Linked DNA regions of Rattus norvegicus. The protein of the gene in region 1 purifies or fractionates together with the protein of each later gene. This does not show direct contact. Links are inferred from orthologs where the notes say so. Each region holds a gene or a part of one and is shown on either strand. Other genes may lie near its edges.

Region 1 (4,524 bases):
TGACACCCACAGGTTCACCCTCACTATTGGAGCCCCCGCCCAGGCTTCCCCGATAGTAACTCTCACTTAGTGGTCGTTACCTCTTCCTAAAAGGGAAGATCAGTGGCCTCTCCTCAGAGCTCTCAGAGACTCCTAAGTTGACCATACACACACTCCAAGTCTCCTGCCTGTCTCCTTCTCCCAGCTCCTAAGCTGCATCAGGGAGAAATCAGATAGAATCTGTTGCTTTCGACTCCTGTCCCCAGTGAAGAACCTTTCTAAAGTAGACTGTAGGGGAAAATGTTTTTAATTTTTGGATTGATTAATGAATCAGTCTACTTACTGATACATAGTGAAGTCGGTCTACTGATAAATAGTAAAAAAAAAAAAAAAAGAAAGAAAGAAAGAAAAAGAAAAAAGAGCCATGCTATGCTAACAGAGGCTGGGTTTGCTACGTGAAAAAATGTCTTGTTTTTATTTTTCATTTTTGGAGACAGGGTCTCCTGTAGCATTGGCCCCCAACGTACTTTAACCCAGGAAAAAAAATCTAACTCACGTCCTTTTTGCTTCTTGGTGTTTTCTGATGTTTCTGTAATAAGTATGGTTTGCTTTTCCAATAAAGAATGCTAAGGAAACTTCCCACAGGGGTGAGGGAGAGGAAACGGAAAAGGACATGGCGAAGGGCCTCCTCCCTCAGTTGTGAAAATCAAGAAAGACTTTAAAGAGCCTCACAACAGGACATGGTGGTCCATGCCTGAAATGCTCTGGCAGGAGGACTGCAGTTGAGGATAGCCTTAGCTACTTAAGCTACTTAAGTAGGGTTACTATGGCTAGATCCCACTTCAAAAATAATGAAATCACTGGGCATATGGCACATGCCTATAATCCCAGTAGAGGCAGGCAGTAATGAGTTCGAGGCCAGTCTGGTTTACATAGGGAGTTCCAAGCCAGACAGGACATCATAGTAAGACTCTGTCTCAAAATAATAATACATTTAAATAAAAAATAAAGGGGGCAGGGAGGCCAACTACACACCCCTGCAGGCATTTAGGCAAAGTAGGAGTGTAGTACCAGGTGGGACAGGGAAAGAACGGGCGGGGTAAATACAGGATAAAGGATTTCAATCTCTGAACGTAGAAAGTTTTTGAGCAAGGAAGAACTGCTCAGGTTGGAACATTGAACATTCTAGCGGCCCCTACGCTCAAATAAGTACGTTCAGTCAGGAAAGGTTTACTTACAAGGAGGTGTCAGAGAGAACGCAAGCCAGGCAAACAGGGCCCGGCAGACTTGTCGCAGGAATCTGAAAAGGCTCTTTAGATTAGATGACCCTTGGGGGTCTCCCAACGTATGTTCCTACGCAGAGCCTAGAATGAACCAGCGTGACCTGGTAAAGGCGAGGCCAACACTTAACTCTCGCTAAAAGAAGACATGTCTGAAAGTCTGGAAAGACCCCGAGACGGTGGGAAGAAGGAAGATGGAGGGAAAGAAGATCTTAGGAACGGGACTACGGGAGGAAGAGTGCAGGGAGAGCTCTGCAGTGCGGAGGGAGCCGCACGCAGTCCCTGAACCTGGTCTGGGGAGGGGATTAAGTCATGGGCGGGGCAGGTGGGCGGGGGGCGGGGTCGGCATCCCTCGGCACATGCGCATCACAGCTGGCCGGGCGCCGTAAGGAGTGGCACTTTTTAAAAGTGGAGCCTCAGGCCAGCCCCTAGCCTCAGCGTGTCTCAGTCGGTTGTCGAGTTCCTTCGGTCCCGGTCGTGCGTGCCTCTTGTCCCACGCAAGTCCAGCTTGTACCATGCCGGTCAAAGGAGGTAGCAAGTGCATCAAATACCTGCTCTTTGGATTTAACTTCATCTTCTGGGTGAGTGAGAGGCAACTGTCGCGCGCTCCTCTCCGGGACCACCTGTTCTCAGGCCCGGGACGGCGTCCGGGGCGGTGAGTGTCCCGGCGGCCGAGAGCGCGAGGAGCTGCTGGTACTGTGCGCGCCAGGCGGACTCCGGGCGAGAAGAGAAAGGCGCGGCGGCTGCCAGCTGGCCGGGCGGGACTGGCAGGTGGGCGGGAGGGGCAGGTGGGTGGGAGAGCCGAGGATCCTCGTGGCCCGGGCTGTGCACTTCGCTCCCGGGTCCCTCTGACGCCGAGGATTTGAGATGGGGTCTGTGCCTGATCCCACCCGCAGAACCCCCGAGTGTGAGAGAGGAGGGAGGGAGGAACAGAGCACCCTTTCTCGAGTAACTGGATGCCCTCCCTGGCCCGCGAGGCCCCTGGCCAGCAGGGCAGTTGAGTGTCTCCCACTTCGGTGGTCCCACAAGTGGTAAGGGGCGTCACAAGGGAGAGGAAATAGGTGTGGAGAGTCTTCCCTGCATCTGGAGGACGGCCTTTCCTTGAGTTCTGAACGCTCAACTGAGAACGTCCTTGCCTCCCTCTAAGCTACCTGAAAGACTAGATTGTCTTGATTCTTTTTCAAGAGCGATAACTATCTTGGCTGGAGAGAACTCTGGAGAGTTAGTTAAAGGACGGCGGGGTGCCTATCGGCGCCTCTAGATGGGATAAGTCCGGTGTTTCTGCATTTCCCAGGTAATCAGGCACTGCGGGCTTGAAGCCTCGCCTCCTAAGAATGTCCAGGTGGGGCCACGGGGAACGGCTGTTCACCTGCAGAGGCCCCAGAGGCAGGTGCTAGTAAACTATGCAGATGAACCTCTGGGAAAAGCATCAGAGAGTTTCTCCAGAAACTAAGGGACAGAAGCAAGGAAACGCACGGAAAACCCTTTTGTCTTAGTTCTGGGAGGGCACACCGCCTACACACAAATGGACAGCATTTGCTCCGGTGCAAGAGTTTAACCAGGCAACTCCTGTGCCACCAGAGGCTTTCAACAACAACGAAAAAGTACACTATTCCCTTGGAGCTGGCCATCGGGATGCTTAACCTCTTCCAGCAATTGGGAGCTTTAATACTCCCCGGAGTTGCTTGGAAGTGTTGCCCAACCTGCAGAGACCGCCTTGGGTTTCTAAGAGCCACCACACCCATACAACTTAAGAGGATGTCGGAAGGCATTCCCTCCTGGCCTGTTTCCCCAGCTCTGCAGACAGGCAGCCCAGATCCCAGGCTTGGCTTGGCCCACTCATCTGCTTAAGCACCACAAAACAAAGTCTGAAGGCAGCTGGCCCCACCCAGCCCCGCCCTGTCCTCTGGGGAGTTTTCCTCACTCTCCCCAAGTAGTCGCTCCCCTGCTAGTCTGGGGTCAGTCCCCAGACGCCTGCCCGCAGAGATGTTTGAATGTTTGGTGCTGAAAGGAAACCACATATTGCCACAGCCTGCCTGCTTCCCCCATCTGCCCCATGGCATAGGCAAGGGGCAGAGGGGAGGTGCCCAGGGCCACCCTATGTCTTCTCAGTCTGTAGCCTGCTGGCCTGCAATCTGTCCAGCGTTGTCTCCTGCTGCCACTTCACTCCTATCCAGAGTCGTCGTCCCCCCCCACCCCCCATGAGGCACTGCTGGTTGACTGTGCCTCCTGAAGCAGAACAATCTCACCCTAGAAGGGTCTGGTTTGGGGGTTGGGAACTGGTTCAGAGATTGTGTACCAACTATAGGTGCTAGCCCTCGTGTCCACCGTGAGGAAACAGAGTGCCCAAGATCGAAAGCAGAGTTAGTACTCTGACCTCTGGGCACCTTGTTTTCCTTCTTTACTCTCCTGTCTCTCTTACCATTAGGGAGGTGGGCAGTTTACTAAGTTAATTATTGTTACCTGTCCTACCCTGGGCTCTAATGGTGACAGTCATGTTACAACCTCTGTTAAGTATTTTACAGCCTCCAAAGGCTCCCCCCCAGCTCCATGATAATGCCAGAGAAAGAAGAGTTATCCCATTTGCCTATTGGTGACCAGAAACCTTGCCTGTGGAAGGTTAAGTGCTATAGGCAGGGTCAAGTGACAGGGTATTTACCAAGTGAGGTGGTAAGCTGGGTTTGGCTTTCAGGCAGGAGTAAAAGAAGGCTGAGGCAAAACTCCTCAAAATATCTTTTATGACAGGCGGTGATCTCGGCGGACCCTTGGGATTATTATGTCACCTCTTCAGTCTCTTGAGACTGGTGATTTATGAACTTGACATTTGGTACCTGGTGTGGGCTCTGAAAAGCAGGGGCCACCTTTGCCCGCAGAGGATGCTGAGGGGCTGGGTGGCGGGAATCCAAAGAGAAGCCAGCGTTTCTTAGTTGTAGTGGGGCAGTGGAGGAGAAGGGAGGACCGGAAAAGGGTAATCAGCCTCTCTCCTGGGCCTGAGCATGTCCCCTGTGGGCTGCTCCATGACAGCTGAGCCTGCCCAGCCTGCCTTTCTGAAGTTGGGTGTCTCTTGCCCACAGCCAAGCCAGCAATCAGTCTGTTTTTCCAACATCCTCAGAGCCAGACCTTGCAAAGCTATTTTGGTTGTTCCCAAATTGCCCTCAGATCTCTCTGTGTCTATCCCTCCACTCCCTCCAGAAAAGAAAGAAAAGAACTGAGGAAGAAAACATCATTCTGATGTCTAGTGCCTGAATGGCAGGTGACAGGAGTG
Region 2 (3,807 bases), on another chromosome or scaffold:
TTACCAACTAGACAGAAAAGTATAGATGCTGTTCATGTAAATCACTGGTCAACGAAGAACCCTGTAACGTACTGAGCATATGACGTAGCATTCCCAGGGGACTTCAGTATCTGGCTTTCTCTTTCTTTGTCATAGTTTTAATATCAAAATAGGATTTGAATTGATTTTTTAAAGAGTTTTTTTACTCTTTCTTAGTCTATGTATTTATTTCTTTTATGTGAGTCCACTGTCGCTGTCTTCAGACACAGCAGAAGAGGGCATCAGATCCCATTACTGATGGTTGTGAGCCACCATGTGGTTGCTGGGAATTGAACTCAGGACCTCTGGAAGAGCAGTCAGTGCTCTTGACCCCTGAGCCATCTCTCCAGCCTCTTGAATTGATTCTTAAGATGGTTGAATAGTTCACAATTCAAGCTATACAAGTGCTAAATAGCGTAAAACTTTTTTAAAAGTCTTCATATCTATAGAAAGCAGTAAAAGTGCTATAGCACTTTGCTTTTGACCTGTCAAGTCCTTTAGCACTGTGACCCCTGTAGTAAATGTAGATGTAGATGGGAGATTGTGTGGAGAGGTGTGTGGGGATCCAGAGGGAAACATTATTTACCACATTGGTATCCTCCTAATGTTCAGGGTTGATATGAGTCTATTGTTTTTCTAGGCTTTTCTCTGGACTCAGGGAAGGGTATTGTTTCTAAAGATGACATCACTTTTGTATCTGGTGCTCCAAGAGCCAATCACAGTGGGGCTGTAGTTTTGCTAAAAAGAGACATGAAGTCAGCACATCTTCTCCTTGAGTATATATTTGATGGTGAAGGCCTGGCTTCTTCGTTTGGCTATGACGTGGCGGTGGTGGACCTCAATGCAGATGGGTAAGCGGATCTTTGTTACTATGTCCAGCTAATGTTGCTGGTGACTGGCTTCTAGAGAAGGACTGTGGATTAGTTGGTTAAAAAAAAAATGCCTTACTATCCTGTCCAGTCTTCATCATTGATTGACAGCTGACATTCATCCCCCCCACCCCCACCCTTGTGACACAGAATAATGACCTTTTAAAAATTACACTTTCACCTGAGTTCACTTGGGGAATCATAGTTTCTTTTTTTTTTTTCTTTTTTCTTTTTTTCGGAGCTGGGGACTGAACCCAGGGGCGCTCTACCACTGAGCTAAATCCCCAACCCCAAGTTTCTTAAAGATTTAAATTTGGAGAAGAAATCACTTAGGGAATCAGCATCAGCTACGTGACAGTCTGTGGTTTCTTATGGGGAAGGGGGCAGCTGTCGAGCATCCCAAGTGTCTCACAGAAAGTTGGAAGTGGTGACCGTCACTGCCTAGAGGACTCCTAGTTCTTGAGGCCAGCTGGAAATGGTAATGGAATGGCAGATCCTTTCTGGAAGTGCTCCTGTACTGTGCCTCTGACTCGAGGGACTACCTTTAAATCGCTACCCTCACCATTTCCTTGGCCTATCACAGATCTTCTGTTCAGTATTTTGATTGATGACACGCGAGTCCCTGATTGGAGGCCCTCTCTGTTGTGCTGTGTTCCTTGGAGCCTATATTGGTAGTAATTTCCCTATGCCTTTTGGCACCTTAGCAGTGGTCCCTAGCTCTCCCCTTTGCTGTGTTTTAGGTGGCAAGACATCGTTATCGGAGCGCCACAGTACTTTGACAGGGATGGCGAAGTCGGGGGTGCGGTGTACGTCTACATTAACCAGCAAGGCAGATGGAGTAATGTGAAGCCAGTTCGTCTAAATGGGACCAAAGACTCGATGTTTGGAATCGCAGTGAAAAATATCGGCGATATTAATCAAGATGGCTATCCGGGTGGGTGATAGGTTATGAAGTGGTTACCATTCGTAGAAAGTGGGTGGGTGTGCCTAATGAGCACTCACAGCATCTTACTTTAAGATGCTGGAGTATTTTTTTAAATAATAACTTGTTTTTAATGTAATGTCAATAGATATTGCTGTTGGAGCTCCCTATGACGATCTGGGGAAGGTTTTTATCTATCATGGATCCCCGACTGGCATAATTACCAAGCCAACACAGGTAACCAGATGACCTCTTTAAAATAGTGTCAGCCTTTTGCCTGTATGTAGCTTTAGGTAACTCTTCAGACACATTTCAGTTTCAAGTATTCAATAGTGTGAATTTAAAAATAATATTTATTTATTTTACTTCTAATTATGTGTATGAGAGAGAGGAGGGAAGGGAGAGGGGGAGAAGGGAAGAGGGGAGAGATGGGTAATGGGAGGGAATACTCAGGAGGTTGGGGGTGTCAGATCCCCTGGAACTAGAGCTGCAGGTGGTTGTGAACCTCCTGGTGGTGGTGGGGAAGGCGGGGAAGAATAATACTGGGGTCCTCTGTCCTCTGGATGGACAGTCTGTGCTCTTAACCACTGAGCCATCCCTCAAGCCTGGCGTCAACTGCACAGTATCCCTGGAAGAAGGCTCTGACACACTCACACAGAGGCAGTGACCTGCTTGTTTTAAAAGGTCTCAGCTAAGTTAGGAAATCAGGGTAACCCGGAGTGAAGACCGTTCGACCCAGAGATCGGGAGGAGGTGACCTGTACTGCTTCCCTTAGCAGTGTGCTTGAACAGGATTGAAACAGGATTGAAACAAATAGAACATCGTAATTACACAGAGAATTCAGACCCCAAGGGTTCTAACTTGTTCTGAAAATACGACTGGAGGGGGCAGTTAGAGTTGGTTTTAAACTACACTGATTAACTTAATAAACAAACCAGGCTTTTATCCTTTGGAATACTGGGTGACTCAGATGGCTTTGGTGAAACAAATCACATGGATCTGTACACCTACAACGTAATATAATAATTATGTTCATCAGCTTTTGTTCTAAATGAACTTTATCTTGTTCTCTCTCTGTTTTCTTTGTTACTACTGGTGGTGACAGGGACCCCAGTCCCCGCTCTGTCCGTCCTGGGGAAGTGCTGTACCGCGGAGCTGCCTCCCTGGCGCCTTTGTGTTTTTCTCTCAGCTGTAGCCAGGCAGCTCAGTTAGTGGCCCAGCGTTCATTCTAATGCCTGTGCATGCGTTCCAGGTTCTTGAGGGTACAACGCCTTTCTTCGGCTACTCAATCGCTGGGAACATGGACCTGGACAGGAATTCCTACCCTGACGTTGCTGTGGGTTCCCTCTCAGACTCAGTAACTATTTTCAGGTGTGTGCTGCCGTTGACTTTGGTTAAACAAGCTTCAAAATGATCTTACTCTGTTGTTTTTGTTTATTCATTTTTACCTATTTATCGAGGCAAAGGCTTGTATAAATTTGAAGGTTTTTTTTTTTTTTGGACGGGATATAACAGTAAATGATAAAAATTATGTAATTTCTTGCTAATACTGAACTGATTTGGAGTAAAAATGTGTTGGAATTAATGGAAAGTGTTGCTTCCTAAATATATCTTTAAAACCTTTCTTCGAGTCTCGGGGATATGACTCTGGCTTCAAGTCACTTGCCTGGCACTGCTGGGCAGGCATAGCAGCCCCTCCTGTAATTCCAGCCCTGGAACGGATTCCTGGAACTAGCTGGCTAGTAGTTCTAGCCTTTAGGTAGCTCTAGGTTTAATTGAAAGTGTAATCAAGGAATCTCTGGGTTACTCTGAGTCCACACTGAGCAGGTGTCGAGCTGTAGGAAGCCTTGGGTAGGGAAGTGCAGTCCGAGGACTGGACACAGCCAGAGCTGATGTGGTGGGTCCCCACAAGGAGTCTGGGGTGGTCGGATTCTCAGACTCTTGGGCACCCAGGCACTTCTGGGATGCTACAGAAGAGCTGAGAACGGAGTGAGGGCC

The links.
Region 2: the proteins of Cd9 (region 1) and Itga6 purify together in Homo sapiens (co-immunoprecipitation; 3 studies listed by BioGRID and IntAct, with this or other methods). This does not show direct contact. The link is inferred for Rattus norvegicus from reciprocal best matches to the Homo sapiens genes CD9 and ITGA6.

The regions. Positions count from the first base shown.
Region 1 is NC_086022.1:159,972,548-159,977,071, reverse strand, and holds the start of Cd9 (CD9 antigen), read left to right. Parts: upstream 1-1,713; 5' UTR 1,714-1,774; coding exon 1,775-1,840; intron 1,841-4,524. UniProt on the Homo sapiens protein: Integral membrane protein associated with integrins, which regulates different processes, such as sperm-egg fusion, platelet activation and aggregation, and cell adhesion.
Region 2 is NC_086021.1:77,066,657-77,070,463, forward strand, and holds part of Itga6 (integrin alpha-6 precursor), read left to right. Parts: intron 1-658; coding exon 659-869; intron 870-1,627; coding exon 1,628-1,821; intron 1,822-1,957; coding exon 1,958-2,046; intron 2,047-3,061; coding exon 3,062-3,180; intron 3,181-3,807. UniProt on the Homo sapiens protein: Integrin alpha-6/beta-1 (ITGA6:ITGB1) is a receptor for laminin on platelets. Integrin alpha-6/beta-1 (ITGA6:ITGB1) is present in oocytes and is involved in sperm-egg fusion.